Linked DNA regions of Diceros bicornis minor. The protein of the gene in region 3 purifies or fractionates together with the protein of the main gene of each other region. This does not show direct contact. Links are inferred from orthologs where the notes say so. Each region holds a gene or a part of one and is shown on either strand. Other genes may lie near its edges. The genes, in order: SF3A3, SF3B2, SMNDC1 and SF3A1.

Evidence for each region.
Region 1: the proteins of SMNDC1 (region 3) and SF3A3 purify together in Homo sapiens (affinity purification with mass spectrometry; 3 studies listed by BioGRID and IntAct, with this or other methods). This does not show direct contact. The link is inferred for Diceros bicornis minor from reciprocal best matches to the Homo sapiens genes SMNDC1 and SF3A3.
Region 2: the proteins of SMNDC1 (region 3) and SF3B2 purify together in Homo sapiens (affinity purification with mass spectrometry; 3 studies listed by BioGRID and IntAct, with this or other methods). This does not show direct contact. The link is inferred for Diceros bicornis minor from reciprocal best matches to the Homo sapiens genes SMNDC1 and SF3B2.
Region 4: the proteins of SMNDC1 (region 3) and SF3A1 purify together in Homo sapiens (affinity purification with mass spectrometry; 3 studies listed by BioGRID and IntAct, with this or other methods). This does not show direct contact. The link is inferred for Diceros bicornis minor from reciprocal best matches to the Homo sapiens genes SMNDC1 and SF3A1.

Annotation. Positions count from the first base shown.
Region 1 is NC_080752.1:51,927,844-51,935,756, forward strand, and holds the start of SF3A3 (splicing factor 3A subunit 3), read right to left. Parts: upstream 3,090-7,913; 5' UTR 3,015-3,089; coding exon 2,919-3,014; intron 2,749-2,918; coding exon 2,701-2,748; intron 1,047-2,700; coding exon 994-1,046; intron 889-993; coding exon 783-888; intron 1-782. Other genes in the region: FHL3 (four and a half LIM domains protein 3), read right to left, coding at 7,458-7,612, 7,738-7,913. UniProt on the Homo sapiens protein: Component of the 17S U2 SnRNP complex of the spliceosome, a large ribonucleoprotein complex that removes introns from transcribed pre-mRNAs.
Region 2 is NC_080770.1:7,249,040-7,257,083, forward strand, and holds the start of SF3B2 (splicing factor 3B subunit 2), read right to left. Parts: upstream 3,009-8,044; 5' UTR 2,991-3,008; coding exon 2,858-2,990; intron 2,691-2,857; coding exon 2,641-2,690; intron 2,135-2,640; coding exon 2,057-2,134; intron 1,023-2,056; coding exon 774-1,022; intron 559-773; coding exon 508-558; intron 1-507. UniProt on the Homo sapiens protein: Component of the 17S U2 SnRNP complex of the spliceosome, a large ribonucleoprotein complex that removes introns from transcribed pre-mRNAs.
Region 3 is NC_080745.1:74,123,344-74,131,396, forward strand, and holds the start of SMNDC1 (survival of motor neuron-related-splicing factor 30), read right to left. Parts: upstream 3,057-8,053; 5' UTR 3,012-3,056; intron 1,786-3,011; coding exon 1,666-1,785; intron 1-1,665. UniProt on the Homo sapiens protein: Involved in spliceosome assembly.
Region 4 is NC_080774.1:23,863,616-23,871,384, forward strand, and holds the start of SF3A1 (splicing factor 3A subunit 1), read right to left. Parts: upstream 3,003-7,769; 5' UTR 2,919-3,002; coding exon 2,856-2,918; intron 1-2,855. UniProt on the Homo sapiens protein: Component of the 17S U2 SnRNP complex of the spliceosome, a large ribonucleoprotein complex that removes introns from transcribed pre-mRNAs.

The DNA.
Region 1 (7,913 bases), on a different chromosome or scaffold from region 3:
AACAAAGAACTTCCCAGCTACACAGTCATGAAAGCTCAGAGTAATGGCGGACTCTCTCTCTAATTCTCCCCCTGCACCTAGAATTCCTTTGGTCAGCCGTGCAAGATGCTTAATCAGTTCTAGATAATTGAGACATAATCCCTGCTCCTTATAATCTTACAATATAGTGGTGCAGACATTCATCGTCATAAAATACGAGAGGACCATAAAGAAAAGAAAGCTTAATTGGGAGGGGTAGACTAGTAAAGATATTTCATGGAAGCGTTGGCCTCTGGGCTGAGTCTTGAAGGTGTAATGATCCCTGGAAGTGAGTTAAGCCCTTTGTGTTAATTGGGTCCTCTAGGTAGCAAATTTCGAGACAGAGTTACATTCACAGGCAGTTTATTGGAGGGTAATACTCATGAAAGATAAAAAGGAGAGAGGAAAATTGGGCAGGGAGAGCCTAGGTCATGACGCAGACAGGACAAAATCTTGACCAATCCAACGGGGAGCTCTGGAATAGACTACTCACTAGAAGAGTCTTGCACTGGGCAGAACCAGCCAGGCCATAGTACCCCCACTGTGCTCAAGTCACTGGCTGGGGGTGGCCCAGGAAGAGAATGGCCTTGGCTTAAAGCGGAGGGGGATCATGAACGCACTGGAGCTGCAGGATGTCAGCTAATGATGCTCCCTGCAGCTAAATGGCAAGTTCATTTCTGATGGGACATCTGAGCAGCACGTCTCCATTTTCCTTTACTATGCTATTCAGGCAGGTTTGGAGAAAACACTTTCTGAGGCCATACCTCATTTGGGTGCTTCCGGTGGAATTCCTTTATTTGCTTGAGTCTATTATAGAATTCAGCAAATTCATTGGGTCCTGAAATGGCACTGAGCTCCTCCTTTCGTAACCTGCAATTGCAGGAAAAATCCAAAGAACATAGAGCACAAAGTCAGTCCTTTAACCATGGCTCCTCAAAAGCACTAACTCCTGCATTGGCTGTGACTGTCACTTACCCATCCTTATCATCATACAAATCCCTCAGGTTCCCACTGACTTCCATATACCTCTGAAAGGCAAACAGAAACCCATCAGAATGAAGCAATCTGTACAACCACAGAGCTAAGCCACCAACAAGGACTCTCTAGTCAGAGCCCAGGGAAACCTGGGGAAATGTGGTATTAAAAGTTCCCGTGCAGAGGGCTGGCCCCATGGCGTGGTGGTGAAGTGCGTGCGCTCCACTGCTGGCAGCCCGGGTTTGGATACGGGGCGTGCACTGACGCACTGCTTGTCAGGCTATGCTGTGGTGGCATCCCATATAAAGTAGAGGAAGATGTTAGCCCAGGGCCAGTCTTCCTCAGCAAAAAAGACAGGAGGATTGGCATGGATGTTAGCTCAGGGCTGATCTTCCTCACACAAAAAAAATAAATAAATAAAAGCAAACTCTTGGGGAAAAAACCAGAATAAATATTCAAAAAAAAAAAAAAAGAGTTCCTGTGCTTTCTAGTACCTTTAACAGACAGCACTGGTTCCTGATTAGTTTTTAAAACAGGCCAATTTGAAGATTACCTAAGTGATGTGATTTGAGGGGTGGCATCGAGTTCCTATATTTACATGTTACTGATGATTAACTTTCTCTAGAAGAGTCATCAAAGAGAGCCATATAAGACAGTCACCCTTTGCTAAACAGCAATTCCCACCTAAGACCCTCAAAGATAAAAGGGTGGTCGAAGATGATTTTCACTACTTCAAAAAGTTTGACTGAAGAATGTACAGGCTAAATAAACTTCCTTTGGATTCAAACTCAGGATGGTACAGGTACATAGCCCCTTCTCCAAAGCTTTTGGGACCAGATTTGTTTCAGAATTTGGAATTTTTAAATTCAGAAAGGTATTATATATTATGTAATATCCCTAGTGGAATCTGGAACACATATTAATAGTTCTGCAGTGAAACTCACCTAATATTTACTAAGTGAGATAAAGACCACAAAAGCCTCTCATCTGTTCAGGTCAGGTTTTGCTGCCAAATGAGATCAAGTGAGATTCTGCCACCAAGTAATTACTCCCTCACAACCCCCTTTGTTTTCAGAGTATTTTGGATTTGGGAATTTAGATAAGGAACTAGGGGCTCGTAAGACTGACTATCTCCTGCAAATCAGAAACTCTGATGAGGTCTTTTATTTCTTTCTAAAGACATCTCAAACATATACAAGAGCAGACAACATAGTATATAAACCTCCATTTACCTATCACTTAACTTTAATAAGTACCAACATTCTGATTTATCAGTTTTCTAAAAGTAAGAAATTAAACTATTACCAGGTAAAAGCAGTTTGGTAGGCACAAATACTTCAAATCAGTGTTCTGGGAGGAAAACACTAACGGACAGCATTCTCTTCCGGGCAAAAGAGGTAGTACTTTCTGGGCCCCAGTCACTGACTTCTAATAACTATTCCCTAGACATCCATGGGACACAGGATACTGTAAGAAGGGGCGTCCCTCCGAGTAACGGAGAAGAGTACGAGTCGCCCGTTCAGAGACGCGAGGAAGGGCAGTTAGGCACCCTCGGGACTGGGCGCCGCGTGGACATCTCCAGGCCGACAACCCGCGACTGGCCAGTCCGGTTACGTCTGGCCAGGGCTCCCGCTGAGCGGCCGCACCCGCCTCCCCGCCTTTCCCGCGCATCCCGCCCAGCCCGACGCGGTCGGCGGGGGTACTCACGTCCTGCATGGCCCGGGTGCGGTGGTCCGAATTGATCTGGTCCCGGAGCTGCAGAGGCAAACGGGGACACGGCGCCGTTGCTCGGAGGGCTGGGTCCCGGGAGGAGGGGACCAAGGCGGGGGCTCGGGGAGGGGCCGGGGAGGGGCGCGGGGAGGGTCAGAGGGTCAACCCGGGATGGGCCCGGCCTCAGAGGGAGCCCCCGCCCAGGCCCCACTCACCGTGGACTTCTTCGTGAGCATCTCTTTCGCCATGACGTCCATGAGCCGTTCCTTCTCTTCGTGATATCGCCGTTGCTGCTCAAGAATCGTCTCCATCTTCCCTGGGCCCCCGGACCTCTATTCAGACCACCTACACGGCCGGAAGCAACTCCTGCCGCCTCGCGCGCCCGCGTCCCCACGCTGTGCGTCCGGCCGCACTGAAGTTCCGCGGGTACCGGAAGTGCCTCGGGGACTCGAGGAAAAGTGAGCACCGAAAGGAGAGCCAGTCTGGGCTATCGAGATGGCAGCAGTGCCCCCTGCTGGCCGGAGGTGTGGTGGCGCGACGCCGAGCGGTTTGCAGGTGCCTCTAGGGGGCATACAGAAATCCCGGAACCTGAGGCGAAGTGCCGGCTTCCCGGGGCTTCCTGGCCAAGCAGGCAGGGCCACTGTGGACTGAAGAGTAGTGGAAAAGCATGGATGGGAGTTGGGGGACCGGAACTTGAGACCCTTACTGTGTGTGAACTCTGACAGCGTTTTTCCCTTCTCCGGATCTCAGTGTCGTTGTCAGTAAAATGGGGATGATAGGGTTTTTTTTTTTTTTTTTTTTTTTTTGTGAGGAGATCAGCCCTGAGCTAACATCCGCCAATCCTCCTCTTTTTTTTGCTGAGGAAGACGGCCCTGGGCTAACATCTGTGCCTATCTTCCTCCACTTTATATGGGACGCCGCCACAGCATGGCTTACCAAGCAGTGCGTCGGTGCGCGCCCGGGATCCGAACCAGCGAACCCCGGGCCGCCGCAGCGGAGCGCGCGCACTTAACCGCTTGCGCCACCGGGCCGGCCCCTGTTTTTTTTTTTTTAAAGTAATTCACATGCAGAAACAACCTAGTTGTCTAACAGCAGGGGACTGATTAAATAAAATATGGTACATCAAAGTAGTGAAATGCTATACAGCCGTAAAAAAAAAAAGAATGAAGCAAGTCTATATGTCCACTTCTAGATGGCAAAATGAAAACGTGTGTCCGTATGTTCAGATGTTCATAGCGCCGTTATTCATCATCAACAAAAACAGAACGCAACCCCCAAATCCATTCACTGGTGGATGGATAAGCAAAATGTGGTCTATCCATACAATGGAATATTATTCAGCAATAAAGGAATGCTACAATGTGGATGAACCATGAAAACGTCATGCTAAGTGGAAGAAGCCATACACAAAAGACCATATTCTGTAGGTCCAGATGAAATGTGCAGAAAGGCAAATCAATAGAGACAGAAAGTAGATGAGTGGTGGCCTGTGGCTGGAGGTGAGAACGGAAGTGACTGCAAATGCGCACAAGAAATCTTTTTGTGGGTGACAGAAATGTTCTAAAATTGGATTGTGACAATAGTTGCACAACTGTATTAAATTTGCTAAAATTAATTGAATTGTACACTGTGAATGGGTGAATTTTATGGTATGTAACTTATACCTCAATAAAGCTGTTAAAAAAATCTGTATGAACTCATAGGGAAAGATGGCCACACAAAGTGAAAAAAGCTAGACGCACAACAGTGTGTATAAAAATAGATGCACAAACAGATTATTTCTGTAAGGATAGCCAACTAACAGTAAACAGGGGTTGTTTATGAGGAGATAGCCTGGAAGATCTGGTACAGGAGGGAAATTTTTCTTTGTATATACCCAAAGGAGAGCATGAAAAGTTTTTTTCTTAACATGTACATGTATTACTTTTTCAATTGCAAAATAAACTTAAAACTAAAAATGAAAATACATATATGCACATGAACCTTAACAAAAAAGAACTAGGAGGCTATAATATATCAAGGAGTTGTTAGTGATTTATCTTTTGTTCCCTTTACTTTTTAGAATTCTCCAATTTTTCTACAATAAGCATACATTGTTTTTTAATTTTAAAAATAACATAGGGATAATGACTCTTGTCTTGCTTGCTCATGGGGTGTTGTAAGGGTATTTTATGTCTAAAAATTTGAACAACCTTAGGGAGAGGACTCCAGGCATAACTCCTCACCACAGGCTTTTCCTGCACCACGAGGAAAAAAAAGTAAGAGATCTCCATTCAGGATCAGAGAGATGAAGAGATGAACCTTTTTTTTTTTTTGGTAAGGTTTGGGATCTACTGTATTTCATCGAATACCAGATGCCAAATGTTAACCCCACCATGTTCCACTAAGAAAGAAAAAAAAAAATTGTCAAATTGTGTCGGTTATATAATGATTATACAATTATATGATGATACAATGCTTCTAGGTTTCTGAGATGTGAAATCTAAAAAACGTTTATCTTGAAATCAATGCCAAGGTTTTGTACCTGCAAATTTCTTCCTCTTAGGTAGATGGACCACCTAAGCAACACCACTTACTTGATGCCTTCCTTCCCCACTCCATCAAACCAGTCACGAAGTCCTGTCTTTTCCGCTCCTGCTGCCACCTGCCTCATCATCTCTCACTTTGACCACTGCACTAGCCTCGGAACCAGCCTGCTCATCTTACCCTCCAATCCATTATTCATGCTGCAGCCAGAGTGATCATCTCACCCCTGCTTAAACATTTCCACTGGCTGCTTCACCCGCAGAGTGAGGTCTGTTTAACTTGGCATTCGGCTCTTCCTGACCTGGGCTCTGCCTGCCATTTAGCCTCTTGGCACTTCCTCCAAGTGAAATTACTTGCTGCTTCCCCAAAGCACCATATGGTTTTTCAGGCCCCCAGGCCTTTGCGCCAGCTGTTTTCTATGCTTGGACTCCTCCTCCTCAACAAGTATTTATTGAACATGTAGTAAGTGCCGGGACCTGAGGATGGAGGGGTGAGCAAGGCAGGCGCGAGCCCAATCCTCCAAGTGGCTGATGGGAGAAAGAGACAAAAATGTGGAATGTCTAATTATTAATCATAAACACACACGGTGGGTATTCGTAAAGGTTTGTTGGAAATGTCAACCAGGGCCTCAGAAAGTTTAGAATTGGAATTAGGGAAAGCAGTGTGAAGCGGATTAGAATCCCAGAGCTACCAGTGACTACCTATGTGACGTTGGGGAACTGACGAGTCTCCACCTCCGTGAAATGGAAAAATGCCCGCCCCGTTGGATTTCTGGGAGTATTGAAAATGAGATACAGACAATCACGCGGTTGCCCCGGGCCCGAGGGCCCCTCCTGCCCAGGGCGCGAGGGTCCGCCCACCCCGAGGCGCGGGCCCCCACCCCCGGAGGCTGCGGGCGGGACGGTGAGCGCAGGAGCCCGCGCGTACCGAGTGTGCGCACGAGCGGACTCCGGCGGTTCCGCCGCGGAGCCCAGACCGCAGGCCCCGGAGGGGGCAGGGGCAGGGGGCATGGGACGCTGGGTGAGGGGAGCAGCGCTCCGCCCCATCTCCCCACTTTGGGGGGCAGCCCCCCTCGCTCATTCCCGCCTCCGCCCTTGAATCACGGGGGGGCGGGGCCATGACCCATTCATGCCGGGAATCGGATCCAGATGTTCCCGCGGCGCGTGCAGCTGCATCCTTGCCTTTTTTGGCAAAAAACGTGCGGCCTCGAGCGGATCCCGGGCCGCCTCCGCTAATCCTCGGGAAGAGGGGGAAGGGGGCCGAGGGTCTGGGTCCAGGCTGGGCATCCGCACCCGGTGCTCTGCGGGATTTGGGAAGGGCTGTTAGGGGAGGGGGGCGATTTGTACCAGACCTGGGAACCCACCGCCACCCCCGCTCCGGTCCAGAGCCTCTCTCAAACCCCTCCCTTCCCCATATGGAGGAAAACGCCCTCCGCCAGCAGGGGGAAGGTAGGCTTAGCGTGAGAGGGACAGTGACAGCAGTGGAGATCCCCTTTCTCGGGCGAGATTTCCCACGATCCTCAGAGTCCCTCCGTCTGCGAAGAAACCTTCCTTCCCCCTCCATCCGCAAACACACACATACAGGCCTTCACTTCCTCACACTGCTTTATTGCAGAATCTGGAAGGGGGTGAGCCGATCCCACCCCTCTGCCCATCTCCGGGCAAGATGAAACTGAAATGAAATCAGAAAACACTCATAGGACACGGGCTGGGCAAAACCCTGTACCCTAGGGCCCCCTAACCAGTGAACCCATTCTGCTGCCCAGACAGCCCCAGCCCTGGGGACAGAGGTGGGATGGGGTGGGGAGGGTCAAGCCTGAGGATAGTCCACCTTGCAGGACTGCTCAGGCACCCATAGGAGACCTACAGTCTTGGGAGAGAAGTCTAGATTGAAGGGGGCCTGGGTCCCAGAGTCCAGGTTTGGAGGGCTGGGGGTCTAGAGCCCTGATTTGGGGAGGGGGTTTGGTCTGGGAACCCAGACTGTAGAGGAGAGGGCTGAGTCCTGGAGTCCAGGCTTGGGGAGGGGATTTGAATCACAGAGGCTCCAGAGGAGCCCAGGTTTGGGGGCCCTGGGTCAGGGAGTACCAGTTTGGGGGATGTTGGAGTAGGGAGGCTGAATCCTGGAGCCCAGGGGGAGCCCCAATTTGGGGAGGGGCTGGATCCCAGAGATGGTTTGGAAAAGGAGCCTTAGTCCTGGAGCCCTGGTTTGGGAGGGCCTGGGGCCCAGACTCAGGGCCCCGCCTGGCTGCAGCCCTGGCATAGCACTTGGTCTCCGTCGGGCACGAAGCCCTGGCCCACCAGAGAGGTGGAGCAGCGGGCGCAGGAGAAGCAGCTGTGGTGCCAGTGGCGGTCTTCAAAGGACACATACTTGCCTCCGCCGAGTCCTGGAGGGAGGCTGGAGGTTAGCTCTGCAGATCTAGAGGGCAGTCCTGCCCCTCAGCCTCACCCAATACCAGATGCCACTTCCTTGCTTGCCCCCACCCACTCAGTCCTTGGACCCTTGTCCCACCTGTGATGGGGCGCTTGCAGCTGCTGCACTTGGGTGCAAAGAGTTCTCCAAAACAGGCCACGCAGTAGGGATCATCATCCCGGGAGGTGAACTGCTGCCCTGCCAGGGGTGTCTGGCACCCAGTGCAGACCAGGCATTCTCGATGCCAGGGCTGGTCACGGTATGTCACACCACCC
Region 2 (8,044 bases), on a different chromosome or scaffold from region 3:
AACAACCGATGCGACCCACCTCTGGGGCTGCATGTCTTATGTATCATTCTGTAACTTATATCTATCGTGTTTAATCTAAATCTGATACAAATGACTAAATTAGCCCAGAGTCCTCTCTAAGGTACCTAAAATGATACCATGTAAGACTAGCAGAGGTCTGCAAACTTTTTCTGTAACAGGCCAGACAGTAAATATTTTAGGCTTCATAGACCGTTGTATGGACTACTGTATAGACTTAGTTTTTTTTTTTTTCCCCCCAAGAGTCCTTTAAATATATAGAATCCATTCCTAGCTCGCAGGCCATACAAAAACAGGCCGCAGTCCATAGTTTACTAACTCTTGAGCTACAGGGAAGAGAGAATTATTTGGGAGATACTGGAACTCAGTTGAGGATGACGTAACCTCCATGGAAAACCTGAATGGTGCATCTTGTTTTGGACACTAAGCACTAGAAGTGACAGCCAAGAGACTAGACCATGGGGTCAAAGGTTAGGATAAGGGCATTACCCGCTTCTGCTGCTCCAAGAGCTCATGTTCCTTCAGTGAATGATCTCCCTGCTTAAAAAAAGAAAACAAGCTCATACCAGCACCAATACCCCACAGGGCAGTCTGCCACAACTCTGCTTCCTGGGGTCCTTCTCCAGCCTAGGGCCCAAGTTCTAGTCTGTGGTCCAGACCTTCCCAGAAGGCTTGGCTCCAAGATCCAGCTCTGAGGCTCTACTCCCCATTCAGGACCCTGATGAGACCCAGGCCCAGGCTGCCACCTGGCCTACCTGCTTGGCACGCTCCTCTTGCTGCATCAGCAATGCTGCCTGCTGCTGCGCCAGCTTCAGGCGCTCCTCCTCTGACAGTGCCACAGGCTCACCCACCCGGAGAGGAGGCGGGGGCCCTAAGTTTGGAGGGCGGGGTCCAACGGCCATAGGAAAGCCAAGGCCAAGGCCTGGTGGAGGTGGTGGGGGTGGTGGAGGAGGTTGCAGAGGGGGGAGTCCCATGGGTGGTGGTGGCATGGGAATCCCAGAGAGCTGTGGAAAAAAATATGACCATAAACTAGGAAGTATTTATCTATTGCAGACCGTTCTTTTTTTTTGGTGAGGAAGATCGGCCCTGAGCTCACATCTGCCAATCCTCCTCTTTTTTTGCTGAGGAAGACTGGCCTTGAGCTAACATCCATGCCCATCTTCCTCCACTTTATATAGGACGCCGCCACAGCATGGCTTGACAAGCGGTGCGTTGGTGTGCGCCCGGGATCTGAACCGGCGAACCCCGGGCCACTGCAGCAGAGCACGTGCACTTAACCGCTTGCACCACTGGGCCAGCCCCTCTACTGCAGACATTTGTTGGGGATCTACTATGAGACAGCTGCTGAGATTCAAAGTCAAATGATACATAGTTCTTGCACTCAAGAAAAGAATACTCGATAGCAGTATCGAGAGAAGAGGATGCTAACTTTGGGGCACCAACCAACGAAAGCTATGGACTCTCTCCCCAGAACAATACCACGAACACAGACTTGGCATACAATTTCAGGAGATTCAAGGAGACCTCTAAAGACTATCTAGGGACTCCTCATCTCCCACACAGAAGTCAGTGGACCCCACGTCAGAGCCACTGCTCTAGAGAAAAGGAGTCAAATCCTGGATCAGAAAGAACATGGAAGTTGAGAGGACTTAAATAAATGGGAGCCAGTGTGCCCTGATGACTCAATAAATGTAGAGGGTATCAAATCAAATCAGGAAGTGAGCTCTAAGGTCTCAGTGAATAACATGGGAACTGTGCCCTGGGAGGGCAAAGAAGAGGGTGATTACTTCCAGCTGGTGGAGGATCAAGTCAGGCTTCCAAATACTAAACAGAATCTTAAATGACAAGTAGAATTTTGAGGAGCAGACATTGGAGGAGGAGGCAAAGATCAGGACCACCAGAGAACTGAAGAGCTCCCAATTCTATCACCGCAGTACCCCCCTACCCAATCTGCTAGTTGCATCCACAGTACACTGCATGTAAAAAAAAAGGCTACCCTGAGCAAAAGGGATCTTATAAAGTGGAACAACCTCCTCACCTGCGCTGACATGGGAGGGGGGGCAGCTTTGTCCCCATCTTCGCCTCTCAGAACCGGCCGATTCAGCACGATGCCAGTCTGCAAAAGAGAAAGGACTCTAGGTTGGTCCAAGAGGAGCTGTTCCAATAAACCACGTTCGCTCCCATTCATTCAACAAAATTTACCCAGTGCCTGTCTGCCAGAGGTCCGACTGGGCACTGGGGAAGAAGGTAGAGGTACAGAACAGAGGGGTAATCCCATGAGTGGCAGTAGCATGGGAATCCCAAAGAGCTGTGAAAAAAAATATGACCATAAACTAGAAAGTATTTTTCTACTGCAGACATTTGCCGGGGGTCTACTATGAGACAGGTGCTGGAATTCCAAGTCAAATGACACATTGTTCTTGCACTCGACGTGAGCAGGGACCTGGGAACAGGCACAGAAGCGATTACAACAGAGCAGGTAAAGGCAAGCACAGGCAAAAAGAGTAAGCCCCCACTTGGCGTGCTGAGGTACATAAAGAACGAAGACTGCTCTTCGTGAGAGGTCATGAAGGTCTCCTCCAGAAGCTCGGCCTATCCTGACGTCCCGCTGCCAACACTGACCTGACGGGTGTAGGTCTGCAGCCGCTCCACCAGCTCCTCGCGACTCCCTGCTGGGCAAAGCACAGGATCAATAGGGTAGGTCAGGCCGAGCAGGCCAGCCGGCCCAAGTCAGGCCCCAGCGTCCGGCCTCCGCCCCCCGCCTCCGGGTCTCCGGGGTAACCAGGCTCCGCTTCCCCGCAGGCCTACGCTGCCGGCTCTTGACCTCCGTGTTTCTCACCCTGGATCGGAGCTCCGATCTCTGCCAATTTTGCCTGAAGCTCCTGGGCAGCCCAGGCGCCATAGTGCCCAGGAGGCGGCGGCGGCGGCAGCTGCAAGTCTCCTTTCGGAGGCTCAGGATGCTCGGTCGCCATCTTAGCCGCAGGAAGGCGCGCGACCAACCCGGAAGCTCGGGCCAGCCGCAGGCACACGTCCCGAGACTTCCGGCGGCGCCGTGCGCCACGTCCGCTCGCGGGTTGGAAGGCCGTTTGGATGGAGGCTCACCCACTGCGTTCTGCAGCCGTCCCTAGGCGGCCTGGTCGCGAAGCCTTCTGGGAGTTGTAGTACGCAGGTCACGGCCTCTGCCCGCCCAACTCCCGGAGAACCGTGCGCGCCCACAAGCCCGGGAACACTGGGGGCCGGAGCGGGGGCGGGGCTGCGGGGAAAGCTGGTCCCACCCCGAGGGCGTGCTTTCTGCGTCGGACCGGCCGGAGCGCAGACCGCTAGCCTTCCGGCCCGACTCCCTGGTCAGGCGTGAGAGGTCCGGACGCTTACGTCCCCGGGGAGTCCCGAACTACTCATTCCCTCGGCGGCCGCGCATTGCGGGCGCCAGGCGGGAGGTTGCAGCCGATGCCTGTGATAAAACAGTGTCTGATTGTCTGCCCGTCCACCCCCGGCGCAGGCAAGGATTGAATGGGCTGAAAGGGGATCGGAGCCGGGAGAGGAGCGGGCCGCCCGGGCTGGGCTCCAGCTGCCAACCTGGGGGAAGGGCCACACTAAAGCCCCTTTTCCCACCTTCCAGGCTGGCTCAAATGTCGTCTCAGCCTTCTCCGGCTTTCCTTCTCTTCCTTGGAGTTCCCATAACACGTTCAAACCTCCACCATTTGCTTTGAAGTCTTGCCCCTCCTCCCCTCTTCCATCCCCAAGAACGTGAGCAGAGATCTTGTCTTTTTACTGTCGCGCAGCACCTGGCGTTCAAGAGGCGCTCAATAAAAGATTACTGAAAAAAAAGCAAATGGAACAGTCTTTCTGGCGACAGGATTTGCGTCTCTTTTAGTCTCGAAAATAAACTCAGGACATTTTCTTTCCTCGTTCCCATCAGCCTCTAGGTGGGGTCCACCCTTCCTCGGCACCAGTGGCCTGTGCGCCTGAGGGAGGGATGGGCAGGTGCCCTTGCCTGCCCAGCTTCCACCTCTCCCTGCCCTAACCTGTCAATTCGGTTTCTCTCCCCACCTCTGCCACTAGCTCTGAGGTCCCTCTCCCATTCTAGCTCTGCCCTCTCACTGACAGCCAGGTTCACTGCCTGTGTGAGTGTGTATGTGTGTGTCGGGTAACAGAGCCAGGAAACTCAAGTGAAGTGGTCTCTTTTTCCCCACACACCCGCACCCTTCAGACCTTCTCTCCAGCATGCTCCATTTCACTGACTGCCCCCAACAGAGGAGTAACTGGGAACAGGGGGGGAAAATGTGGTGCCAGGTCCAGGGAAGGTGAGGTTTAAGAGAGACAGAGGAAACGACTGGGCCAGGACTGTTGCTCACATCCCGGCCCTGGCTAGGAAATTCTCTTCACTCCTCCCCAAACCATGACCTTTCCCTGTTTCATCACTGCCACCATCCCAATCTCCTGACACTCTCAGAGGAGAAGCTAAAGCCAGAACGGACAGACAAAAGAAGAATGGTGCCCTCCCCCTAGCTGGTCAGCCCACTCAGGCAGAACCATTCCTGACCCAAAAGAAGTGTTTTTCTGCTCCCTGTAACCAGAGAGCTGCTGGCAGCTCCTCTGAGGCTGGAGGCCCCCAGGCATGTGTATGTGCTGGGGAACAGGAAGGGGGTCTCTAAGGCAGGATAAACTAAGAGCTGATGGGTGAGGACGTAATGTAAGTAGGGCCAGAAAGGGAGGGATGGGCCAAGTGGGGCCTCATTTTATCATAAGCCCTGGGACCCAGGCAGGGTAGGACCCCCCCATTGTGCATAGGAGAAGACTGAGGGGCGGAGAGAAGCTGACGTGCCCAGGGTGTCAAACTGGGACCACAAGCAGTTCTCCTGACTCTGAGAGTCCCCATTCCTTTCTCCTCCTTAACAAGGACCCTCACACAATACCTACCTGTGTGGCTGTGGAGTGGAATCCAGTCCCTTCCAGTCGCAGCTTTGGGTGGCTGCCCCAGCTCCAGGATCCTTGTCATACCAGGCCTAGAGGGCAGGAGAAAGCTGGGGTCCATGAGAACCCCAGAACTAAATGCGGGGCTCTTGGTGTCTGGCGTGACTTTGGGAAGTGCTCCTGCCCAGCTCCCAGGTGGTAGGAACTAAGGGCTAAGAAGGCAGTAGAAAATTCAGGACCACCCCACACACATGGGAGTTCACAGAGAGCCTTCACATGTATCCTCTCTGCAGTCTCAGAACAGCTCCCCATTCTAGAGCTGGAAGCCTTCCCAGGGAGGTGCCTCTTGACTCTGGGACTTAAGTTCAACCGGGGTTGAACTTGGGTTCTCTGATTCCCAGTACAAGGTGCCTGGGCAGGGGTCCCAGGGCCACTAAAGCTCTAGTGGGAAGTGAGTGGGTCTGGAGTCCTGGTGGAGAGTAGGAGGGGGTCAGTAGCAGGGGGCTGCCTCAGGGGCTGGAAGGGAAGGGGTTCCCAGGGGTGTGAGGGCAGATGGGACCAGACCAGGGGCCAGAGCTGTGCTTCTCTGCTGGAGGTTGAAAGAGGAGAAAGAGAGGAGGGAGGGAGCATGTGGGTGCTGGGAAATGTACCTGTGTCTCTAACTCCTCTGGGACCCACCAGCCAGCCCAAGGTTGACCAGCCGAGCCCAGGAACGCCTAGCAATGCCACAGTACCCAGATACCTTCTGGGCCTCAGTTTCCCCTTCTGTAGAGTGAGGGCAAGGAGCTGGTCACATTGGTATCCAGACTCTGCAAGATTGCCCGGGGAAGATGCCTGCATCCGAAGACGCCACTGGAGAGTGTTAACTGGCAGTCTGCGAGTCAAGGCTGCCCCCTCCTCTTCCCGCTCCCCTCTCCCTCCCCCTCCTGCGCGGCCGGGCCCCCGCCCCCGCCCCGCCTCCGGTGTGCGATGGGGGGCGGGCGGCGGGCAGAGCTGAGAGGAGCGGAGCCGAGCGGACGCCGCCACCTGATCCCATCCAGGCGCGGAGAGGAAAGCGACCGGCACTCGGCACGCAGGGCCCCCGGCGCCCTCGCATCCGCAGCGGATTTCGGGACAAGGGTTCGGAGGTAGCGGCGACCGGCGACCACCCCGGCAGAGCCCGCGCGCCGTGAGTACTGCAGTGGCCGGCCTGGGGCGGGGGTGGACCAGATCGGGATGGGGGATGAGGGGTGGGCGGGAGAGTGTCGTGCGGGCCTAGTGCCTGGAGAGCATGAGATTGGGGGCGCTCTGTCCCCTGGGGAGTGGGAGAGGGAGGGGTGAGAGGGAGAATCTGGCCTATCTCCTATGGTGACCAGACCCCGGTGACCGGATCCCTGGGAGAGGTTGCAATAAAATTGAGGGAATGGGGGCTTGGGGGATAGTGATGGAGAGAGGAGGATGAAGGGAATTCGGAGGCAGGAATGACGGGCCCGGTGGATGGCAGAGAGAGGGGGCTGGTTGGGACCTGGAGCCGGCTGGGGGGAAAAAGGGAAGAAAAAGAGGGAGGTGGAAAGATATTTGATCTCCTAGGCCACTAATTCGAAGCCCCCTCAGCCCTTGTCCCTTTCCTCTCTAGTGCCCTAGGCAGTTTCCCTAATCACTGGGCTGTGCCATCCTCAAGTAAGGATGGAGTCTCCAGGTCATCCAACGGTCAGGTCCAGGTGTTCCAGGCCAGGGCACCCTCCTCTTCTAAAGGCACCAGTATTAGCCCTAGAGCTTGGAGGAGAGAGAGAAAAGGGTTCATTTGGGAGTGGGTGGGCGTCCAGGCCAGTTTTCAAAGCTCTGGCTAGCTATCCCCTTTCTTCTTTGGTTCCCTGGAGAAAGAAAAGCAATTTGCAAAACTGGGCAGTAGCCTGAGGTAGGCTGTTCTGACTAAAATTAGCACTGATATTCTGATGAGGCTGGGCACCCTGACCTGTCTGGGACGGCTGTGGGAAACTCTCTTCGTGGAGAAGACACGGGGGAGGCTGGGGAGTAGTTTGAAGCATGTGAGGTGCAGGAGCCAGGGCCGTTGCTCTGAAGCCTGCCCCGGACCGCCACCCACCCTACACCAGCCTGGAAATTACACATAGAAACCTAGCCCCAGGTGGCCCCCTTCCCAGGTGCCAGTGCCTTGACTGCATAGGGAGAAGAGACATTGTGGAGTGAACTTGCCAGGGAAGGGAGGCCTCCTCCAGTGTCCAAGCAGCACCCTCCTCGGGACCTGGAATGTTGAGGCTGGCCAAGTGCCCACCCAGAGGAGACAGGCTTACTGCTTTCAAATACCTGAAGGTCTGTCATGGAGAAAAATGGTCCATGTGGCCTAGGAAGGCAGCGCTAGCAACCATACAGAGTGGAAGGTGGAAGGAGACAAGCTGAGAAAGGCACTACCAGCAGTAGACTAATCCTAGTGTCCCAGAAAGAACTTCTGAACAGCCAAGGCTGCTCAGAAATGGGCCAGGCTGTATCTGAAGGTGATGAACGTCGCATCATTGACCGTGGCCAAACAGAAACTGGTGCCCACCTGGGAGGGCTGGGGTCCAGGGAATTCTTGCACTGATGATGCCCTGTTCTAAGTGGGCGTCAGACTGGGGTCTGGCTGGCTGGGTCCCCAGGGCTAAGCCATGGAGGGGAGTGGGATAGAGGAGGCCACCAAGTACCCCATCACCTTCTCTGTGTGGCCTGGTTGAAGTGTCTCCCAGGGAAAGGCCCACTGTAGCTCCCTCCAGGCTTGACCTCCTTGGCTGACCCAGAGTCCTCTGAGAAATAGGGTGGTTTCAGTGAGTTTAGCAAAAGTGGGAATAGGCTGGCCCCCCAGCCTTGGGAAACTCTCAGTCTGGTCACTAAGTCCTCTAGGCAGGATGAGTAACAAAGGGAAGAAGGTGTGCATGCGGCAGGGGCGGCATCTTGGGCTTTTTCTGCCATGCCCTTGGTTGCCCTCTATGGCTGGACCCTTCACCCTCCTCGGCTCCAGGCAGATTAAGTCTGTCTGCAGGCTGGTGGAGGAAACCAGATGATGGGGCCTGGGGAGAAGGAAAAGGCATCACCAGGACATCTTTCCACCCAAACAGGTTTAAATGTAATCCAGGATTAA
Region 3 (8,053 bases):
GGTTATAGAAAAGAAGATATCTTACAGATAAATGACCCCCAGGTCATTAATGCACCCTAAGTAAGTCATTTATGTGCTGACTACAATGCCTACCACAATGGTTTCTCTCCCTACAGTATTTTCCACTAGAGATCATGTCACAGTAAGGCAGTTCTGCCCAAACTCTGACAATTTATTCTAGAAATATTAAAAAGACCTCATAATAATGCTGTTTCAATCTTCACTCCCAACTCCTCCTCCACAAGTTGTACATATACCCTTCCACCCACTGCCCAGGAAGCAATATACCCAACACTGGCACAAAACGTTTTATTCTCTTCAAAGAAAAAAAGAACAGCTTTTAAGTTGGTAAAAGAAGGTGAGGACATGCCAGGATCTCTCTCTGAGGCAAGCAGAAAGTTGGCCTGGGAATGGGAGAAATGACTCCCAAAACATCTTTTTCTTATCGATTGGCACCCTGAAATCCACTGGCCTGACTTCTACATATTTAAGAGGGATCTTGTTTTCTGTGTTTTTAAAAATAACATACTATTGCAACTTTATGCAAGCTTCCTAAATCCAGAATATGAACCTGAAAATATTCAACTCATCTTAATTATGCCCAGATGAGCTCTTTCAGAATCCTGAATCTGGACCCCATTTCAAATAAGTTTCATTTGTTTGCAGTTCTAATATCCCTAAAATATTAATAATTTTAATAAGCAAGAGGATGATAAAGGGAGGGAAAGGATTACTTAGGATAAAGATGATTCAAGTTTTGTATTGAATCAGTAAAGAAAGACTACCTGATCAAAACACCTTTTAAAACTTTCAAAAAAATCAGGTTTAGAATTTTAAGTTCTCAAATTTGTTAAGGTAAAAAATCCTATGTTTACAAATATTATATATGGTGTTTTTATTAATCAACCTAGTGTTCTGAGAAACAACAGATAGTTACTATTATGGCTTTACATATGTCTTGAAAGCCCAATGCAGGTTTTTAAAAGCAGGTTTCATATCTACTGAACTCTCCCATGACAAACAAAACAAATTAAAATCTCCTTTCCAGTTAGATTCAATTTAACTTCAACAAGTGTGAACAACTACACTATAAAATCTAGTCTTAAGTTCAAATACTATGTAACATTAAGCAGAAAACTAGTATCTCTTTACATATTTTTATAATATGTTTTCAATACAGTGTTACAGGCTAGCTTTGAAACACACACACACACACTCATTTCATTTTCAGAGAATCTTGTGGCATTAAAAGGAATCTTAATCAGGTTCTATCTTTCTCTTTTAATTTTAGTTACTCTTTGAACTATATTTCCTTTTTCAGTGGAAAATAAAAGCACTTTCCACTATAAAGTTATATGTACCTCTTCTCTAGAAAGTTTCAGAGAGACTTCTAAAATCATTTTTTAAAATTATATGAGCATACAAGATTTACGTAACAAAGAATGCTTCACTCATTTAGATGTATACAAACTGAGGAAACAACCCCACTTCTACAAGCCGTATGCCTGTGCACACACACACAGGTACATAGGAAGGAGGAGGGTGGAGAAAGACCCACTCCAAAGGGTGCTTTGGGTATCTACACCTTCTAAGCAATGAGTCATTTGAAAAACACAGAAATAGTCTTTTCAAGCAATGTTACTATAAGTGTCCCCTCAGACTTACTTGTAAATCTTTCTTTAATTTTAGCAAATCTTCATTTTCTCCATTTCCAGACAACGCTGCTTCAACTTGCTGAAGCTGAGCTTTGTAGCTTGCCAGCTGCTTTGCTAGATCCTCTGACATCTAGGGAACATAAAAAGGATAAAACCATGAAAACTGAACCAAAAAACAACCATAAAAAATAATTTCCCTGTCTGCCTGAATTAACCCTTACCAATTTTGCTCCCAACTCTTGATTATAATTCATTGCAGCTTAATTTCTCACCATTAGCTTTGTTTTTAGTTCAGAGAAAAGCTGTGAGCCAAACCACAAACTTCAAGGCAATGGATTCTGAAGATTATAAACATGTCAGATAAATCCCATATACAAAGAGAAACAGAAAACAAGAGGTAAGAAAAAAAAGAACAATTTCTCATTTTTTTTAAAATTCCTGTAACAGGGAAAGCACTGCGTTAGGCTCAGTTAACAGCGTTGTTACATCGTCACCAAAAAACAAAAAAACCCCAAAACACAGCACTAATCTTTTGGAAAAATCGAGACTTCCGAAAAAAGTATTTTTAAGCACTAAAGAATACTTCCAAAACCAAATATAAATGGCTTTTGGATTAACTACACAAATAACTCTACCTAAGCTATTCAATTAATAAAAGCGTGTTTAAAAAGCTCTTTTCCAGAGCTAAAATCTTTCACCCAGTCACTTAAATGGTGCCGATGTGTTTTTTTTTTTTCAGTACAAGACACAGCACAAATACTCTCCCATTTAGGCATTCTAAAGAACGTGCCTTTCACCAATCCGGCTTATTCCTCTCCTGAAAATAAGACCCGAGAGAATCCTTTCTCGATCTGTAAGCAAACCCAGAGGGTTTCCGAGGACCCTCCTGTCCTACAACTCCCGTCCAACCACAGCCCAGAATCTGGAAGGGCTCCGAAGGAGTCAGAGCAGCCCGGCTGCTCCCCGCCGGTCACCCACACCTCGAAGCCCGCCACCACTCGGTCGATTACTTCAGACCACGCAATTCCAACATCTGCTTCCAGGGAAACCGACAACACGAGCGGAGCGGCCGCCGGCGGCGGGAGCCCGCGGCCGAGCGCGTCCTCGGCAGGCCTCGGCGTCCCAGCCCCACCCGACGCGGCCCCGGTGGGCCGTCTTCGCCGCCACGGCGCGCAAGCCCAACCCGCCCGGGGCCTCAGGGCTCACTCTGGGCGAGGGGAAGCCGGGGCCCCTAAAGCTCTCGCCGGCGCCCAGGCCTCTCCGGCGCGGCCGCCTCCTCCGCCTCAGGCCTCCGCTTCAATGCGGAGAGGCCGAGGCCCGGCGAGGCCTACCTCTTTCCCTCCCCGGGTTTGTTACCTTGTGTGGGGCTGGGGACGGGGCGGCGGGAAGGGGTCGGGGCAAAAGAGCCCGGTGGTCGCGGCGGAGACAGCGGCAGCAACAGCAAAAATCTCCGCGGCGACAAGGCCACTCGGTCTGAAAAGGATAAACTCGGCCGGCGGTGAGGGGGAGGGGAGGAAAGCCGGGCACTGGAAGGAGGAAAAGACAGGGGCGGGTGAAGTCTCGCGAGAGGTTAAAAACCCTCGCGAGATGTGGCTCCACTCACGTGATTACTAGCGCCTTCTGGGTCGCCTGCCCTTACTGGCATCGGAGACGCAGAGTGGGCGGGGTTTAGTAAGGAGGAAATGGCGTAGTTAGCCTGCGCCAGGCACCGGATGTAGGTTTGTTTTCCCTCAGTTCCGGCTCGGAGCGGGGAGGCGTTGGATTCTTCTTTTAGGTGTGGGACCTGTTGGGCTCTTCCTGGGATTCCCAGGGGAGAGGTTGCGTGTGCTTTCTTAGGCGAGCGGTGCTAGGAAGTGGGTTTACTGCAGTGTTCATGCTAGCAGTTTGTTCTCAAAGTGTGGTCCCGTGCCAGTGGCATCAGCATCGCCTGGTAATTTATTACAAATGCAAATTCTCAGCGCCCAACCCAGACCTCCAGAATCGGAAACTCTGGGGATGGGCTGAGCAGTCTTTTAGCAAGTCTCCCGGTGATACCGATGTCCGCTCAAGTTTGAGGACCAGTGCTTTATATCATAGTAAGCGCCTTAGTAGCAACAAAAAGCTAATTATGGCAAAGCGTGTTGGAGAAGAGACTGATTTATTTAAAACCTATTTTGTTACAACTTATTTGGTTTTAACTAAGTTAATTATATAGGTTAATCTCGCCTGATAGGGAACAATCTCCAAGTTATAGTCTTGGATGATAAGCAGACTGGTGTTAATACTGCCATTTATGTTTTAAAAGAAATGCGCATTGCGTATGTTTGTAATAATATGAACTCTTTCTGGATGGATATGCAAACCTATTCGAGACCTGGAGTGGAAGCCAAATGTTTTCACTGATTACGCTTTTTACTGTTTACTCTTTTTCTTTTCTAATATATGTATATAATTTTCTTTTACAATTAAAAAACAAAACTAGTAAAAAAAATAAATAAAGGCATGAGGCACAAAGAGGCTATGTAATTGCCAAGAAAGAAGCTTTTCTGGGGCTTGGAGTCTGTTGTGGAACGGTAAGAAGGCCCTCCTCTCAGATGGGTTCTTTTGGACTGTGACATCTTACTTTTGTTCCTTGCTCTTTTTTTTTTTTTTTTTTTTGGAAGGGCCTTCCCTTTTTTTCTCTACATACGAACACATATCCCTCCTATTGAGTCATAACCTATAAAGATGGAAACAATGTCAGGTTTGTGAGTATGATTGGGGTGGCAGGCAACGTGCAAGAATTTAAAATCCTGCAGAGGGCAGCAGTGTGCAGCTAGAATTAAGAGACGACAAACCAGAAAGGATGTATTTTTCCTTAACAGAGTAGAAATTTGTTTAAATATAATGTACTTTTTAACTGCTCTAATTCCAATTTTGTATTTTAGGAACTAATGCCAAGAGGATCTTCCTTGAATATAAACTTTATAGCTGTGTAAAAATCTCTCAAGTAAGAACTCTTCATGAAGCCCTTAGATCAGAAAATAGGAAAATACTTTATTGTAAGCTCCCGTCAGAAAATAGGAAAATACTTTATTGTAAGCTCCCATGTAGATTTCTCTATCACCTTGATAAGCTTTTATTTTCAAGATTGCTTTTAATTTCTCCCTCTGTGCAACATAGATTATATTTGGAAAGAAAAGCTATATTAAATTTTAGGTCTTCGAAAGAGATGATAACAGTTTTATGTACCAGGCACCCTTCTAAGCACTTAATATGTATTCATTTAATATTCACGATGATTCTGTGTGCTATTAAAGACAAAACTGGAGCAAGTATGAGCTTTGACTAACAGTGATACTTCAAATAGGGGTTCTGACTTACCACTTCCTTTGAAATGTCAAGATCTACTTTCAGTGTCTGATTTTTCTTAAAACGTTCATTCAAATTTAGTCATGTTTATTCTTCAAAAATAGTAGTATCTAAAATCTCTAGTTCTTTAAACTTGGTGTTTATTTTATTGAAACTCAGTAAGTAAACAAAATTTAAAGCCTGCAAGTTGTCATCAGAATATACAACTGTTTCCTTTCACTGCTAAAGAAAATTAGAGAAAGTATAGCTGCTGCCTTTGGAAATGTGCCAACGCACTGCAGAGCACAGAAGTATGTAATAAAGTGAGACGTGTTGGTTAAATGAGAGATTGCATTCTGTAGCTTAGCTTTTATTGTGTCCCTGGGCTAAAGGTAGCACCCGATTGGCCCACATTTTTTGTTCTATCCACAAATGCCTAAGGCAATGAATTAGAGATGTGTACTCAGTCATAATAACTGCTTATGCCCTTTGTTGTCTTTAGTCATAATAGGTGTTTTGAACGTTTGCATGGAGATTTGTTGCAGGGGCAAGCTACTGGCTTTTTGTGCTTATTGAGTGTTTTGGGGTACAGTGCATTGAAACCATGTCCTAGAATGACTCTTAGGTGGCATCATCCGTTTAAGGTTGATGGAAAAACAACCTTAAACAGATGCTTATCAATGCAGGTGCTATCAGTCGTAGCAATCCTGACTTGTTCACTTAAGTTTGCATTGCCTTCCTAGTGTTAGAATGTGCATTTTCAGCTGTTCTGTGTTTTATTTGTACCACTAAAGAACAGAAAACGTGCCACTACAAACAGAAAACACTACATCAAACTGAAAAGCTTCTGCACGGCAAAGGAAATCATCAATAAAATGAAAAGGCAACCTACCAAATGGGAGAAAGTTTTGCAAATCATATATCTGATAAGGGGTTAATATCAGAAATATATAAAGAACTCATGCAACTCAATAGCAGAAAAACAATTACAAATTTAAAAAAATTAAAATTGAGGCAGAGGATCTGAATAGACATCTTTCCAAAGAAGATATATAAATGGCCAACAGGTACATGAAGAGGTGCTCAACATCACTAATCATCAGGGAAATGCAAATCAAAACCACAATGAGATATTACTTGACACCCATTAGAGTGGCTATTATCAAAAAAACAACAAATAACAAGTGTTGGCGAGGATGTGGAGGAAAGAGAACCCTTGTACACTGTTGGTGGGCATGTAAATTGGTGCAGCCACTATGGAAAATAGTATGGAGATTCCTCAAAAAATTAAAAATAGAAATACCATACAATCCAGCAATTCCACTTCTGGATATTTATCCAAAGAAAATGAAAATGCTAATTTGAAAAGATATATGCATCTCCATGTTCATTGCAGCATTATTTATAATACCCAAGACATAGAAGCAACCTAAGTGTCCATCAATGGATAAATGAATAAATAAAATGTACACACACACACACACACACACACAAATACACACACACTTGAATATTACTCAGCCATGAAGAAGAAAGAAATTTTGCCATTTGTGACAACATGGGTGGACCTTGAGGGAATTATGTAAGTGAAATGAGTGACAGAGAAAGACAAATATTGTATGATCTCACTTATATGTGGAGTCTAAAAAAAAAAATTGAGCTCATAGAACAGACTGATGGTTGCCAGAGGCAAGGGGGGGTGTTGGTGGGCAAAATGGGTAAAGGTGGTGAAAAGGTACAAACTTCAGTTATAAAATAAAAAAGTCATGGGGATGTAATGTACAGAATGGTGACTGTAGTTAATAATACTGTATTGTATATTTGAAAGTTGCTAAGAGAGTAGACCTTAAAAGTTCTCGTCAGGGGCCGGCCCTGTGGATTAGCGGTTAAGAGTGCGTGCTCTGCTACTCGCGGCCCGGGTTCGGATCCCGGGTGTGCACTGATGCGCCGCTTCCCCGGCCGTGCTGAGGCCGCGTCCCACATATAGCAACTAGAAGGATGTGCAACTGTGACATACAACTATCTACTGGGGCTTTGGGGGAAAAAAAGGAGGAGGATTGGCAATAGATGGTAGCTCAGAGCCAGTCTTCCTCAGCAAAAAGAGGAGGATTAGCACGGATGTTAGCTCAGGGCTGATCTTCCTCACCAAAAAAAAAAAAAAAGTTCTCATCACAAGAAAAAATTTTGTAAAAAAGAAACCCAGAAAATAGATTCCTTCAGTATGAAAAAGATTATGATCTAAGGCCTTGCTAAGGGTCAAATAGTAGAGTCATTCAAAGTTCTTTAGACCTATTCAAAAGTGGTGTTTAATAGTACTCTTACATACATTCTTAGTGGGATATAGTCTGAGGACAAAAAGAACAAAAACAAAAAAATCTCAATTATAGATTTATTGCTAATAGTAATATTGGTAATGTAATTTTGAAACTCTTTTATGTCTACTATAAATAAAGTGAATAATTAATATATTTATGTAAGTTAAAACTCCAAGAGGAAAGAAAGAAAAATATAAAATAAAAGAAGTAATGGGGGGAAGCTCTCTGATGTTGAATTTGAATTAGAATTGTTTACATATGTATATTTCTTAGAAGTAATGTTACCCTGGTGAAGGGTGCCCATATCTTGATATCTAAATACCATTCCTCACTGAAAGGAAACAGCATTTCTTGGAGAAATGGTTGATTTTGGGTCTCAGGCCCAGAAAGTACAAGAGTACAAAGGCAGGCCTGGAACATCTTGCTAGAAAGCAAGAAGTGCCCCAAAACTAATAGGATGAAGTCAAAAGCTCACAGACCCCAGCATGAGGGAACTCCACTGGCCAAATGTGAGTCAATTTGGGCACTAAGAAGAATAATGGCTGTGACAGATTATCAAAGTATTGAATACATTTTTAAAATCCATAACTCCAGAGTGATGCTCAAAATCAAGGGTGGGGGAAGAGACTTGTTTTCTTTATAGAAGAATTCCAGCCAATAAATGTAGATGGAATGATAGAATTGGAAAAATCACCATGTGCAGTCCTCAGTGATTAGGGCAAAGATCATCAATAGAAGCTAAAACCCATCTTATAAAAGGAGGTAGAGAAAAGG
Region 4 (7,769 bases), on a different chromosome or scaffold from region 3:
CACACTCAACGCTCAAATGTTTTGTGAAATTCCACTGGAATACTCAACGTTAATTGTCCCATAAGTATCAATATTCTTTCCTCACTAGCTTCTTCTCCTTAGCAAACGAAGGGTCAAATCTCTCATCTTAAGAGAAATAAAGTTTCGGGCTGGCCCTATGGCTTAGCGGTTAAGTGCACATGCTCCGCTACTGGCGGCCCGGGGTTCAGATCCCCGGCGCGCACCAATGCACCGCTTGTCCGGCCATACTGAGGCCGCGTTCCACATATAGCAACTAGAAGGATGTGCAACGGTGACATACAACTATCTACTGGGGCTTTGGGGAGAAAAAGGGAAAAAAAAGGAGGAAGACTGGCAATAGATGTTAGCTCAGGGCCAGTCTTCCTCAGCAAAAAGAGGAGGATTGGCATGGATGTTAGCTCAAGGCCGATCTTCGTCACAAAAAAAAAGAAAGAAAAATCAAGTTTCTCCCCTGCCCTCACGTTCTTTTCTGCTGCTGCCTTCTCCCTCCCCCCTTTCCCCCCCAGCCCCGGAGCTAAACACCCTGAGTTCTCCCAGTCTTGCCATTCCCACTTCCTCACTTCCCATTTGGTCCTCATCCATTTCAAGTGCTCTTGCCAAAGTCAAAAACTGACTACAGTGGTGATCTGGCTCTGTGACCAGTGACCACTCCTTCACAAAGTTCTCCACTCCTCAACTCCCACACCCTATTCTCACCTGTCTTTCCTTCTTGCTCACCATACGTTCCAAGTTTCCTGCCTGGCTCCTTTCCTTCACTTCCTGCCCTATAACATCGAGCACCCCCAGAATTCTGTTCTTGGTTCTCTTCATAGTATTCACACTGTCCTCAGTGATGCACTCACAACCACATCCTCCATTTCCCGTACCACCTCTAATCCCATCCAAATTGACATCCCAGAGCTTTATCCAGCCAGACCCAGTTGACTCCTGAGCACTGTTATCTCTAACCTCTTTCCTGATGAATGGCCAACCATGTACCTGGTCACCCAGGCCAGAAACTTGGGCCTCCTCTCCCTTCCTCAGCCTCTACATTCAATGATAATAACATTTGTCAAGCACAGAATAGGTACCATATGCTTTCCTAAGCACTTTATTATTATTTTTTAAAGATTTTATTTATTTATTTTCCCCCAAAGCCTCAGTGGATAGTTGTATGTCATAGCTGCACATCCTTCTAGTTGATGTATGTGGGACGCAGCCTCAGCATGGCCAGAGAAGCGGTGCGCCAGTGCGCGCCCGGGATCCGAACCCGGGCCGCCAGCAGCGGAGCGCGCGCACTTAACCGCTAAGCCATGGGGCCGGCCCCCTAAGCAATTTAAATATATTAACTCTTATAACCCTCGTGAGAACCCCAGAAGGTAAGTCAGTCCTCTTATTATCCTCATTTTACAGATGACAAAACTGAGGAATGGAGAGCTTAACTGCCCTCAATGACAGAACCAAATTTCCAACATCACTTTGGCTGGAGAGCCTGTACTATGAGCCATTTTGTGAAACGAACTTGCTCAGACCCTCTGCCTCATCACCCATCCTCAGCATTTTTTTTTTAATAAAGTGACTAATCCTCAGTCCTCCTAGCAATTCTCCACATCACTGCCTACCTAGCTGAATTTCTGAAACACAATGTCACTATCCAGCTTAATATCCTTCATTTTCTCCCCGTTGTCTACTAGGCAAAGTTCAAATTCTGAGAATCCCATCTCCTGCCACCAGTTATCCAATGCTGTGCTTCAACCACACCTGTTTATTTACCCATGACCAGAGGGGCCATCTGATTCCTATCTTGGTATCTTTGCATTATTATTTGGTATTACCTTGTTTATTTTTCCCCAGTGACTGGGAAAACGCCAGGACACATGGGCACTTACATGTTTGTGGAAAGGGGACGGACCTCTTCTGTCATGTTCCCCACTGTATTCTGAACTCTAAGCAGTGGTTAGTATACAATATGTGCTCAATAAATGTTTGATGAATGATTAAAGAATGCTATTTCCCTTCCCCAACCACCTACCTGGTGAACTCTTATGCATCCTCCTAAAATCAATTTACCTCACTCCTGTGAGCTTCACCCACCTTAATCTCCACTCTATCTCATCAAAGCCACGTTGATTAGATTACTGTCTTACTCGAACCTGATACTTCTATTATAGAGACAATCACACCATAACGCAATTATTTATGCACATCTTTCCTCCTCACCTGTTTGAGATCTTTTTAAGGACTGGCTGGAACTGTATCATTTACACTGGCGGGGCAATAAACATTTGTTGAGTATTCACGTATAGCTTCCCACTAGTCGGTGAGCTCTCTAAGGCAGAAATTGTACCTCATTCACTCCGGTAACGTCGGAGCCTGGCACCGAGTCTGGCTTAGAGTAAGCACCGAACAGATGCTGCAAATTAACGTTAAAAGATGTACCCTGCAGGCTGGGAAATTATAGAGATTACTGGGCAAAGGCTGGGGGCCGGCAACCCAAATGCAACAGAAGACCGGTGGATGGGCCGGATCGGTGCTTCTCAAACTCGAATGAATCACCCTGGAATCTTGTTAAAATGCAGATTCCTATTTAGAAGGTCTGGGGTGTAGACTTTGTAATTCTACTAAGCTCCCAGGTGATGCTGATGCTGCTGGTCCGCGGACCACACTTTGAGAACCACTGTTGTAGTGAGCTCGTTGCGCTACCGGAAAGCAGCGTAGGAAGCGCGCTGCCTCCTGGGACTTGCAGTCCCTCTAAGCCCTCCTCAGCCTTCCTGCAAAAGTGAGGAGCGCCCGCGCCAGAGGGAGGGCCCAGGCCTAGGCTCGGGCTGCCGGTAGAGGTGCGGGGGACGCGGTACCTGTTTGGGCTCGGTGGCCACCGGCGGCGGCGGGGGCACCGCCTGCACGGGTCCGGCCGGCATGACTGCGACGCTCAGGGCTGCCAGTCCGCCTCGGTGTAGGTGAGCGGTGCTCCGTCAAAAGAGTTTCCCCTCACCAACAGTACGACAAGCTCGCAAGATGGCGGCGACCGAACGAGTCGTAGCCGAGGAGGCGAGGCTGACGCACTTCCGGTCCCGCCCCTATTCCGTGGCGTCACTTCCGCCCCTTCCGCGCATGAGGCGGCCCGCGCGAGACGCCGTTGCCATGGCAGCGGTCGGGGCGCCCGGCTCTGGTTTGTGGGAGATCCCAGGCGCGGCGGGCGCGCCGAGAGCAGTTCCATGAGCCCACCAGACACAGGGGCTGAGGCTGTGACGCCGGAGACTGGTGAGATGTTCCACATGGCAGACGCCCCCCGCACGCGCCCCCTCTCCTTTACTCCTCGGGTGGGTTCCTAGCTCCCTCCGACCCCGCCTTCTAAGGCCCCCGCTCCCTCCCATTGGCCTCTCTTTGGAGAGCCCCCTCGGGCCCGCCTCCTCAAAGCCCCACCTCCCTACTTCTTAAACCCTCTCTTCTGGTTCATGCCCACCTCCCCCAGGTTCCTTTCCGGAGTCAGAATCCCTAATTTCCACTGGTCCCTTTTCCTGTGGGCGCGCCTTTTCTGGGTTCCACCTCCTGCCGTCCATAGTCCCGCCCTCAAGCCTCATGGACCATCTCAAATCAGGGCTGCTTCTTGAGGCTCCACCCCTCACTCCCACAGGTGCTTCTGCAGACCACTTCCTCCGCTTCCCCTGGCCCACCTCGAATCCCACCTTTTTCACTTCCCCTCCTGATATCCTCTTCTCTCTGTCCCTTCTCCCCTCCCTCCCAACTCCGGAATGCGGGCCTTGCCTGGACTTCAATTTCCTCACCTGTGAAATGGGGGGATGATAGGAAAAAAATGGCCTCCTGTGACTCCTACCTGTTTCTCTCTCTCTTAGACACACACACACACCATAGCTGGTTTATGTCATTGTTGTTATTATTAATGTAGAATAATAATGATAGCTAGGATTTATTGAACGTTTACCGTGAGCCAGACCCTGTCCAAAGACTACGTGCATTACGTCATTTATTTCTTACAGCAACTTATTTACGGTTGAGGATAGTGAAGTTTGGAGTTGGTGGAGTGGGAATCCAAACCCAGGCCATTCTTACTCCTCTACTTGTGCAGTTACTTATTCCTTTGTCTTCAGTCAGTCCCTTCACTGTCCCCAGGGATCCAGGCAATTAGCAATCCTGAATCAGAGACTGACAACTACCATATTGATGGTTTTAGAGTTTCCAAAGTGTTTTCATGGTGGTCACCTGGAATCTCAGCACACTGGCCGGGAGGTGGGCATAATCTTTACCAGAGAGGTAGGTCTTAGGGCTCAGAAAGGGAAGGGGCTTGAATGTTGAACAGGAGTGGAGGAAAGATTCCTTACCTTCTCTGTGAATCAAAAGTCCACCTTGAGCTTGAGGGAACTGAGGAGAGGCAGAGTTAGCTGCTGTTCCTACCTCAGGCAGTGTTGGCTCAGTTAGGGCCATTGCCTGTGTGAGCTCGGGACCAGTGCAGGGCTGGCAGCTTCAGGCTGAGGGTTCCACTCAAGACCCAGGAATTACAGAGAAAGCTGTGTCAAATGCTCCTTCACTTGACACACACCTAAGTGGTTCTCAAACCATGCTTATATCTGCAAATCCCCAAAGTTCATAAGAAATGACATAAGGTAACCTTGGATATTTTTCAATGCTGTGTTTTCCTCTTGTATATTCTTGATTCTTTGGCATTTGCTGCTGCCTCTCAGAACTGGAATCTAACAGGAGTTGGCATCTCAGATGGCCCTAGATGGCCATAGTTATTTGAGGAACAGGTCAATGTTTCTTGGTGTCTTTGCAAGCAAGCGCTTGAGGTCCGGGTGCCACTTGAATACACCTTCTCCCAGGGTGGAGTTTCTTGCTTTCTTTATTTATTTCCTTCCTCCCATTCCAGGAAGGAAACTGGAATGTTTCAGTCTGTTGTTTTTTTTTTGTTTGCTTCTGCCTCATTCCTTGGGGACATAAAATCTCACAGGTGGCAATATCTCATGAGAGGCAGTCACCAAGGCACCATATGTGTGCGGGATGTGGGCCTGGGTGTGTTTGTGTGTGTATTTGAGTGTTGTGGGACGGCTACTCATCGCCCTGTGGGTGGAACTGACAGAGCTGACACACTCAAGACTTGTCCACTCCAGAGACCCTCAGACATAGATGGTGGTTCCTGGCAGATAGGGCTCTGTGTGCCTTGCTCTGTCCCTATTCTTTTTTTTTTTTTTATGAGGAAGATTAGCCCTGAGCTAACATCTGTTGCCAATCCTCCTCTTTTTTCCGAGGAAGATTGGCCCTGGGCTAACATCCATGCCCATCTTCCTCTACTTTTTTATATGTGGGACGCCTGCCACAACATGGCTTGATAAGCGGTGCGTATGTCTGTGCCTGGGATTCAAACCCACGAACCCCAGGCCACTGAAGCAGAATGCACAAACGTAACTGCTACGCCAGCGGGCTGGCCCCTCTGGCCCTATTCTTGCCATGGTGCCCAGCACGTAGTAGGTACTCAGTCACTGTTTGCTGAATGAACACATGAGATCTGAGCCTCTACACCTGCACTGTCTAGTCTGGTAACCACCAGCCTATGTGGTGGTGCATTTGAAAATGGTGGCTGGTCCAAATTGAGATGTGTTGTGTCAAATAGACACTGGATTTGAGACTTAATGCAAAAAAAGACTGTAAGAAAATCTCCTTGGGGGCCGTGGCTTAGCGGTTAAGTGCGCGCGCTCCGCTGTTGGCGGCCCGGGTTTGGATCCTGGGCGTGCACTGGCGCACCGCTTGTCTGGCCATGCTGAGGCTGCGTCCCACATACAGCAACTAGAAGGATGTGCAACTATGACATACAACTATCTACTGGGGCTTTGGGGAAAAAAAGGAGGAGGATTGGCAATAGATGTTAGCTCAGAGCCGGTCTTCCTCAGCAAAAAATGAGGAGGATTAGCATGGATGTTAGCTCAGGGCTGATCTTCCTCACAAAAAAAAAAAAAAGAAAAGAAAATCTTCTTGGGGCTGACCCGGTGGCACAGAGGTTAAGTGTGTGCGCTCCGCTTCGCTGGCCCCGGGAATGGCGGGTTTGGATCCCGGGCATGCACTGACGCACTGCTTGTCAAGCCATGCTGTGGCGGCGTCCTACATCAAGTAGAGGAAGATGGGCACAGATGTTAGCCCAGGGCCGATCTTCCTCAGCAAAAAAGAGGAGGATTGGCATTGGATGTTAGCTCAGGGCTCATCTTCCTCACCCAAAAAGAAAGAAAATCTCCTTAATAATTTTGTATTGATTTCATATTGAAGTGATAATATTTTGAGTATAGTAGGTTAAATAAAATACATTGTTAAAGTTAGTTTACTGGTTTCTTTTTAGTTTTTTTAATGTGACTAGTAGAAAATTTAAAATCCCATATGTGGCTTGCGTTATATTTCTTTTGGCCAGGGCTGCTCTAGAAGCAGCATAGTTTGAATACAGAGCATAAATGTTGGACTCAAGAATCCCAGCTCCCTCAGTGACCTTGGGCCAGCCCCTTAACTTTCTAGAGCCTGAGTTTTCTCATCTGTATAAAGGAAGTGGATTCAGGAAGTGGCACACAGTAGGTCCTGCAGTCAGAGCTAGCACTGTTGAAGTGTGCCCTCTGTGCTCAGGCTCAATGCAGGCCATCCCACCTGCCCTTTCCCACCCCATTCCTCCAGCCTGGATCACCCTCTCTTTCTTCCCGGACAGACTCCTGCCTGCCCCCCAGGGAGCCCTCTCTGAGTGTCCAGTCACTGACTGTTGCTTTCATTGGTTCCCAGGGACTGAAGAGCTGCTCGGGGCCAGCCCTCACACAGGATACAGGAAGCCAGGCACCTGGGTGATCCTCTGACCCTGAGCCCCAGAGCCCAAAGCCTAGTCCAAGAGCTCGACACACTCAGACATCCAGCTCCAGGAGCAGGCACCTGGGCAGAGGTAAGGCCAGGGCCCAGTCCTCTGGGAGGCCGGAGAGGCCTGCTCAGCTCTCAGGAACCACCCCTGGGTGCCTCTGAGCTTCCCAGCACCTGTGGGCACAGGCTGGCCCTCAGGTCCCTTGGCCCAGGCGTCCAGGTCATACTGCAGTGAACTCAAAAGACAGTCCATGTGCTCGCAGGGAGATGAATTGCCAACCGCAAATAATTTCTCAGTGATTCAGTGCCAGTGTGGTGTGTGCTGGGAGGGAAAAGAACAGGATGCTCTGAGAATGTGTACCAGGGGACCTCACCTGGCTGGGTACCTGAGGGAGGTATCTTATCAAGAGGAAGTATGGGGACGGGGCACATTCTGGGTGGTGAGAAGCTGAGATGGAAACAGACCACGCAGGGCCGGAGCTGGGGAAGTGTTCCAGTCTTTATGCTGGAGAAAGCTGATCACTCTGGCTGCCGTATACAGAACGGGTGGGCGAGGTTTTGCTGGGCAGAGGGAAGAGGGTGACCCCTCAGGGAGGCTGTGGCAGTGGCCTGGGGAGATAGTGGAGTGTGGAGTAGTGTCAATGGACAGAAGCGGTGGATTCTCAGTGTGGTCCGGATGTAGGATTGGCATCACTCACTGCTTGCACGTGGGGGTAAAGGAAGGGGATTCGAGGAAGTGCCCAGATGCACTCAGTAGGGGTGCTATTTTCTGAGATGAGGGAGGCTTGGGGGTAGAAATAGGCTGGAGGAAGAGAGGTTTCCCAGGCAAGCCTGGATTGGTGGGGGTCAGAGTGGCCGTGGCCTAAATACTGCCCAAGCAGCCCCTGCATTGCAGGGAGGAGCTGTAGTGCAAGGAAGCACTTTCTGCTGCT